2 linked regions of the Macaca mulatta genome follow. The protein of the gene in region 2 interacts with the protein of the main gene of each other region in a biochemical or structural test. Links are inferred from orthologs where the notes say so. Each region holds a gene or a part of one and is shown on either strand. Other genes may lie near its edges.

The links. The genes of interacting proteins can lie anywhere in the genome.
Region 1: the proteins of RBX1 (region 2) and UBE2D4 form a complex in vitro, tested with the Homo sapiens proteins (2 studies listed by BioGRID). The link is inferred for Macaca mulatta from reciprocal best matches to the Homo sapiens genes RBX1 and UBE2D4.

Annotation. Positions count from the first base shown.
Region 1 is NC_133408.1:84,416,806-84,420,449, forward strand, and holds part of UBE2D4 (ubiquitin-conjugating enzyme E2 D4), read right to left. Parts: intron 3,489-3,644; exon of another isoform or gene 3,359-3,488; coding exon of another isoform or gene 3,358-3,358; intron 3,170-3,357; coding exon 3,138-3,169; intron 3,042-3,137; coding exon 2,964-3,041; intron 1-2,963. UniProt on the Homo sapiens protein: Accepts ubiquitin from the E1 complex and catalyzes its covalent attachment to other proteins. In vitro able to promote polyubiquitination using all 7 ubiquitin Lys residues, but may prefer 'Lys-11' and 'Lys-48'-linked polyubiquitination.
Region 2 is NC_133415.1:10,578,484-10,582,784, forward strand, and holds the start of RBX1 (E3 ubiquitin-protein ligase RBX1), read right to left. Parts: upstream 2,942-4,301; 5' UTR 2,921-2,941; coding exon 2,843-2,920; intron 406-2,842; coding exon 327-405; intron 1-326. UniProt on the Homo sapiens protein: E3 ubiquitin ligase component of multiple cullin-RING-based E3 ubiquitin-protein ligase (CRLs) complexes which mediate the ubiquitination and subsequent proteasomal degradation of target proteins, including proteins involved in cell cycle progression, signal transduction, transcription and transcription-coupled nucleotide excision repair.

The DNA of each region.
Region 1 (3,644 bases), on a different chromosome or scaffold from region 2:
CAATATGGAGAAACCTCATCTCTACCTAAAAATACAAAAAAATTAGCCAGGTGTGGTGGCACATGCCTGTAATCCCAGCTACTTGGGAAGCTGAGGCAGGAGAATAGCTTGAATCCGGGAGGCAGAGGTTGCAGTGAGCTGAGATTGCACCACTGCACACCACCCTGCGTCACAGAGCAAGACGCCATCTCGAAAAAAAACAAAAAAAAGGATTTTGCCTCCTTCGCTAGCTCTGAGAACTCACTGGTACTTCTTAGGCTAGATGGAGATGCACAAACATCCTTTATATAATTATCTACCATTTTTTGCATGTTTGATATAGTTTTTAATATTTTTTAAACTTACTTTGGAATATGAGAAGAGAGTTATGTGCATGTGAGCTCGAATATCTATTACCATATAATTTTTCCCAGAAAGGGTCAAACTTCAAAATCATCTCAGATATTAAGTATCTGCCTCAATATCTCCAATAAAGACCATGCAATCTTGCCAGATTCCTCCTATTGTCAGAAAATTTGTGCCAAAACATAAATCCAGTTGCTCCTGTTCCCTGTAGAAGGAGGTTTTTGAAAGACAGAAGCACTTTCTTCCCTCATAGAATGTCACTGTCACCTTTTAGCTCACATCTCTCCTTGCTAAAATAATCCCAACTCACCCACAGAGCTTACTTCTTAGTCTTTTAATAATAACCACTGTTGGCTGGGCGCAGTGGCTCACACCTGTAATCCCAGCACTTTGAGAGACCAAGGCGGACGGATCACCTGAGGTCAGGAGTTCAAGACCATTCTGCCCAACATGGCAAAACCCCATCTCTACTAACAACACAAAAAATTAGCCAGGCATGGTGGCGGGTGCCTGTAATCCCAGCTACTTGGGAGGCTGAGGCAGGAGAATCACTTGAACCCGAGAGGAGGAGCTTGCAGTGAGCCGAGATCATGCTACTGCACTCTATCCTGGGTGACAAGAGAAAAACTGTCTCAAAAAATAATAATAATAATTTAGAAATAATAATAATCACTGTTTCTCCTTTGTCCTTGGGCAATTAGGTACCCTGAAAATGCCCAACAGACATTCAGGACTACATCCATATCTGTTTAAGGAAAATCCTCAGCTGCTCACACAGTAATGAAAGAGATAAGCTAGAAAATTACTACTTGATAGACACTGCCACAGTCTCTCCAGAGGGTAAGGGAGAAGGGGTGGATCAGAGCACCGTGAAGCATGTTTATGATTTTTCAACCAAACCCCCTTGAACAGCAGTTGTACTCTAATGTGGCAAAGCTATTTTAGCATCTGTCATTGCCCTGCGCAGCACACCCCACTCCCTTGCCAAAAGTTTAAAAGGTCTCTGGGATCCTAAGCATATTTAACCAGGATTTAAAATGCTCAGGCACCACGTAGCCTCTGGTGGTGATGTCTGGACAGAGCTGCAGCTGGCGAGCACAGAAGTGGCTTCTTCACACTGACTCAGATAAACAACACGCAAAACAGCAGCTAAGCCTCTGACTCAAACTGAGTCATCAAGGCCAAGTCAAGGTAGTAAGACACAGCAATGTCACAACCCCTCGGCTAAGGTGTCTGATGCAGATGCAGGACTTTTGAGTAAGTCTTGCCAAAATGCACAACCTGGCCAGGCGTGGTGGCTCACACTTGGAATCCCAGCACTTTGGGAGGTGGAAGCAAGTGGATCACCAGAGGCCAGGAGTTCGAGACCAGCCTGGCCAACATTGTGAAACCCTGTCTCTACTAAAAATAATACAAAAATTAGCCACGTGTGATGGCAAGTACCTGTAGTCCCAGCTACTCAGGAGGCTGAGGCAGGAGAATCGCTTGAACCCAGCCTCCTCCACAAGGCAGCAGAGTGATCGTTTTGGTGTGGCAATCCCCACAATGGCGTGCAGACCCTACTCCTGGGGCCATCCGTACCTCTCTGGCCTCCTTCCCAACTCCTCACACGCTCACTCCCCTGGGGCAGTTTCCTGGGGACCCGTCTGCCCCCTTGCTGAGCTTCTGCAGTTCCCCCTTCTCAGGGCTATCTCCCCACCACCCCAGCTCCTGCTGCCAACCACTGCTTGTGCTCCTCCCCAGTGCTGACAGTGCTGACTGGCTCACACGCTAAATGCCCTGCCTCCTCCACAGGACTGTGAGCCTCAGAGCAGGCTCAGCTACCCATGCAGAGCCCAGGTAAGAAGGAGTATGAGGTGCAAGGGTCCAGGGGATGAGACGACCTGCAGTGCATAATACATGCTAGGGCAGGGTGGTTGAGGCAGCTCCCTGGGCTTCTCCTTCCCTCTGGTGGCACTGCTCTCTAAAACTCCACTGATGGGATGGTGTGTGCATAAAGGGCAAAGGAGGTTTGCTATTCTTTTAACTTAATAAAGGAAAGTGAAGGTGTGACTCACCAGTCCTAAACCAGGGTGTGTCCACCTTGGCACTATTGACACTTGGGGCTGATCATTCTCTGTCACGGGAAGGGAGGCTGTTCTAGGCACTGTAGGGAATCCCTGGGATACCCTGGCCTTTGCCCACTAGATACCAGCAGTACCCCCTCACCACAGTTTTGATAACCCAAAATATCCCAAGATGTTGCCCAAATGTCCCTGGGGCAATAGCAAAATCACCCCAGCAGAGAACCCCTGTCCTAACTCTAAGGGACTGCAGAGAAGGGAGCCAGAGCCTGGAGACATGACCAGACTCAGCTACAGTCACAAGGAAAAGCATTCAAACTGTGGCCTCAGTAAGGAGGCCAGCACCAGCTCACCCCACTGACCCTTGGTCACAACAGGTGCTAATTCCCAAAGTCCAGTGGTTAAAGTCCTGGGAGGCTGTCACCACAGGGTGGAGCGGTGGGCCCTCAGAGAAGCCCCATGTACAGCTCTTTTTACCTATACCTGACTTGAAGGGCCCCTCGTCACATGCTGTCCTTCATTCAAACATCAGGGGAGTTGTGAGGGGCACCTCACCTTTGGGGGCTTGAACGGGTAATCCGTAGGAAAGTGGATGGTCAGGAAGAAAACACCTCCTTGGTAAGGACTGTCATTCTGGAATGATGAGACACAGGAAGAGATCAGTGCATGTGCTAAGCCCAAAGTGCAAGAAGCAAAACTGGAGTGGTGTGCTCAGCAGCTACTACCTACCGGGCCCATGATGGTGGCCTGCCAGTGGAACACTACAAGACAAAAGAGAGATGGGCATGTAAGAGACCCCCCAAGAAACATGTCTATTCTACTGAAAATGCACTGCTAAATTACAGGGCACTGTCCACACGAGATGCACTCACTTCTGACACCAACTGCAAGACTGGGGTTCCCCAAACCACCCAAGATGCGGTAACTGCCTAGGACTCCCAGAGCTCACTGAAAGCGGGTGTGCTCAAGATTGCCGGTTATCCCAGGGAAACAGCATAAGTTAACATCAGGAGGGTCCAAACGCAGAGCTTCCATTCTTCTCTCTCCGTGGAGTCGGGATGTGTTACTCTCCTGGCATTGCTGTACGGCAACACACACAGAGTACCCAATCAGGGATGCTCACTGGAGCCTCCGTATTTAGAATTCTTATTGGGGCTCTACCCTGAGAGCATGACTGACTGATGTGAATGCCCATAGGGCTGATCTCAGGCTCCAGTCTCTGGCTCCTCCAGGCAT
Region 2 (4,301 bases):
TCCTCCTTTCAGTATTTCTACCTTTGAGTCTAGGTACAAGATGGGAGATATGCAGGAAGAATCAACAGTGCCTGTTGTCCACAATTAATTCTAAATGTGTTCCTGCCATCTTTAGATTGAGTAGATTTATTCTGAAAGCTGGGTATGCCTCCAGGACATCATAAAAAAACTACTCTATTTCAAACACACCAAAAGACTAGATACAGAAGACCGAGTGCTCAGAGTAGGCTTGATATCTGCTTGTGAAGAAGAAAATCGGTCACATCAAGATAGCCACAAGCTCTGCAACCTTCTCAACTTCCTCCCATCCTCCTCCAATTACTTACAAAGATCCATAATGTGGTTCCTGCAGATGGCACAGTTATCAACCACAATATCCCAGGCCCAGAGGGCTACTGCATTCCACTGCAAAGACAAAAAGAGGGAACAATGCATTCTCCTTATAACACACACACAGTTTTTAGGACTTCAGGCTGCAGTTGTAGTTATGATCTCTGGCCACAAGGAACCACCAAACAAAAGGTTTTGGATATTATGTTAATCTTATTATACCAAAGACAACAGTAGACAACACATACGTTCTCCTATTCTCCAAAAGACTGAGTATATGAAGACATAAATGAATGTCATCTTTTGTTTCCTGTAGTTTAAAACAATTTAGTCTGGCCGGACGCAGTGGCTCACGCCCATAATCCTAGCATTTTGGAAGGCTGAGGCGGGTGGATCACCTGAAGTCAGGAGTTCGAGACCAGCCTGGCCAATATGGCGAAACCCCGTCTTTACTAAAAATACAAAAATTAGCCAGGCTTGGTGGCGGGTGTCTATAATGCCAGCTATTTGGGAAGCTAAGGCAGGAGAATCGCTTGAATCTGGGGGACAGAGGTTGCAGTGAGCCGAGATCGTGCCACTGCACTCCAGCCTGGGCGATGGAGTGAGACTCCATCTAAAAAAAAAAAAAAAAAAAAAAGCACAAACTTGAATTTCTGTGCAGGTTTTGGTGGCAGTTGCAGAAGCGCTCAAAATCTGAATAAGTATCTGCTCTTCCAGGCAGCTTTGGAAGCATGAGCAATGAAGTGAAAGCTAGGGAACAGAATGAACTAAGATGATGACTGGATCATAAAACAGGTAATCGTGGGATAAGCTGGATAATTAACTGCCCATGTCAGTACACAGAACAAGGTCATCACTTAAATCTTAGATTACTTCATAACAAATTCTACAATTCACTAGAATTTTGTTCGATTCTTACCATAAAATAAACTGATGTTCTGAACTTTTATATGTTTAGACTCTTCTATTAAGATAATAATTCCAGGCCGGGCGCGGTGGCTCAAGCCTGTAATCCCAGCACTTTGGGAGGCCGAGACGGGCGGATCACGAGTTCAGGAGATCGAGACCATCCTGGCTAACACGGTGAAACCCCGTCTCTACTAAAATACAAAAAAAATTAGCCGGGCGAGGTGGCGGGCGCCTGTACTCCCAGCTACTCGGGAGGCTGAGGCAGGAGAATGGCGTGAACCCGGGAGGTGGGGCTTGCAGTGAGCTGAGATCCGGCCACTGCACTCCAGCCTGGGAAACAGAGCTAGACTCCGTCTCAAAAAAAAAAAAAAAAAAAAAAAAAAGATAATAATTCCAGTAAGAGTTTAATTAAAAGTGGCATTTCATTCATTCAACTCTGGTTTCCTCAATTACAAGTACTCCCAAACCTTCATCGCTTTCAAACCCCAGTCTCAGTGCCTAGTAACTTCTTCACCACTTTTCACATCACAGCTTCAACTTGGAGGAAAAGCCCCTACTTCTATTATTCTTCAATATGGCTGGCTGTAACTGAGCAGCAGTGGCCACAATGAGACACCAAAAAGCACTAGGAGGGGGGGGATATTGTCAGTGTTTAGCCAGATGTTCCAGGAATATCTTCCCTATTTCAGAATCTCCATTTCGAATAGTTTTCATGTTAGGTGGGAATCGACACTTTTCTCCCAAACTGTGGCAAACCACTAAAATGCATTTCATGCAAAAGACACGTTCCATTTTTGCTTTCCCCTCTTACCAAGTCATTCGCAACTAGTACTCAACCCTTCCGAAATGCCACAGGATTTGGGCTCGGATTTTCTTAACAAGTTCCACCGTGCTTTTTATTATTATTTCGGAAGGGGGAGATTCTGAACGTGACAGAGAATCCAAGAGTGGGGTGGTTGTGGGAAAAGCCAACAGACGTCTCAGAACACCCAAGCATTACACTCCAGACTCTAACTCGGCGGTGTGAGGCCCAGAGATGGGGTTAATGGAGGCCTCGGTTCAGCGAGGAACAAGTCTGATCCCTTCAAGTGAGAGGACCCCAAGCAAGCTTCAAAAAGGGGCGGAGCAAGATCACTAGCGGGGCTCCTCAGAGGCCTCCAATGCGGTAGGACCTCAGGTTCCAGGCTTTCGCCGCACTGCCCCATCCTCCACCGCCGCAGTCGCTCTGACTCCCCATTCCACCCACCCCACCCCACCCCACCCCACCCTACCTCACCCCACCCTACCTTCCCCCACCTCTCAACCACTCCAGTGACAGCTCAGGCGCTTGGCTCCCGCCGCCAAGTCGCAACCCCGCGTATCTCAACAAGCAGCTCTGTGATTGGCCCCTCAGCCTCACATCGAAACCAACACTTCCCCTGACAGTGGGCCGCCGTCACGCCGATCAACTCTAAGGCCCGCCCCCCGACTTCCTTTCGTGGTACCCGGTCCCAGGAACGCCCTAAAATGAAACCCTTTACTCCGCGCCTCGACCATCCTCGGGCCTGCCAGCCAGATCCGCGCCTCTCTAGCTTCCCTGAGGAAGGCGCTGGCGAGACCCAACCTTTTTCACTTCAAAGCGCTTCTTGCCCGCGCCGCTGTTGGTGCCGCTCGGGGTATCCACATCCATCGCTGCCGCCATTTTGGAAACACACGGTCTGTCGTCCGACCACCGCGCCTGCGCAGCAGCGCACACCTCGTTCCCCCAGCCTCCCCGGCACCTCCTCCCGCACCCCACCCCTTACTGGCGCGCGTGGGGGAGGTGGGGGCGGAGCACGTGACCACGCCTCTTAAAGGGGCTATCGCAAGTCGCCCCACCCGCGAAGTGTCGGCCGGGGAGGGGGCGGTGGCCGGAGTGGGTGGGGCGGGGCGGGGCCGGGCGGGGCCGAGGCTACGTGAGCTAGCCTGGTAGAAACGTTCGAAAGGGCTCGAGGTCGCCGCCTCCTCTGGGAAGCCCCCGGCCGCACTCCATCAGCTGGGGCGGCGGCTGCTTCCTCCGCCTGAGTCGGACCTGCGCCGCAGTCCTGTCCTGCCTACCGGGCTCGCCCGGTCGCCGCGCGACTCCCATTGCTAGCCGGGGTGGGCGCCCGCCGCCTGCCCCGAAACCTGAGAGCCCTCGCTGGTCTTTCGCAGACTCTGACCCACCTCCGAGCCAGGCCCAAGGCGCAGTCCGCGTGGGAGGGCTGGGGCCCAGGCACCGTCTGGTCTCCGATTTCTGTTCGGGAACTGCTCAGGGATCGATGGGGAGAGAGGAGAGCCCCGAAGGTCCTCCCTAAGGCCAGACTGAGCAGGCCCCCAGTGCTGCCCTCATCCCCCCGCCAAGCCTGGAGGGTGGCCTCTGCGCCCGCTTAGTCGCAGTCCTAGGACCGCCTTTGGTCGTGGTGCGCGGTTTCACCGTGGCGTGTGTCAGTCCCCACTTCTCATTCCTCAGTTGTCATCTTGTGTAGGGTGATTTCTCCCCAGTCTGTGTCCTCTTTCCGCTACTTGTGCTATAGTGAAACCGACCCATCTGCAGTCGCTGTATTTCTTTAATTTTTGTGAAGCATTCTTTTTGGGGTGTTTTTTTGAGACGGAGTTTCGCTCTTGTTGCCCAGGCTGGAGTGCACTGGCGCGATTTCGGCTCACTGCAACCTCCACCTCCCGGGTCCAAGCGATTCTCCTGCCTCAGCCTCCCTAGTAGCTGGGATTACAGGTGTCCGCCACCACGCCCGGCTCTTTTGTATTTTTAGTAGAAACGGGTTTTTACCATGTTGGCCAGGCCGGTCTCGAACTCCTGACCTCAGGTGATCCGCCTGCCTCGGCCTCCCAAAGTGCTGGAATTACAGGCTAGAGCCGATTTTTTTTTGTTTTAAATAGAGACAAGGTCTCACTCTGTTTCCCAGGCTGGTCTCGAACTCCTCGGCTCAAGCGATCCTCCCACTTCGACCTCCCAAAGTGCTAGGATCACAGGAGTGCGCCACCGCGCCCGACCCAAGCACCTGTACTTTGTGTCACTCTCCCTTTTCTCGCTAGACCAGGACTCC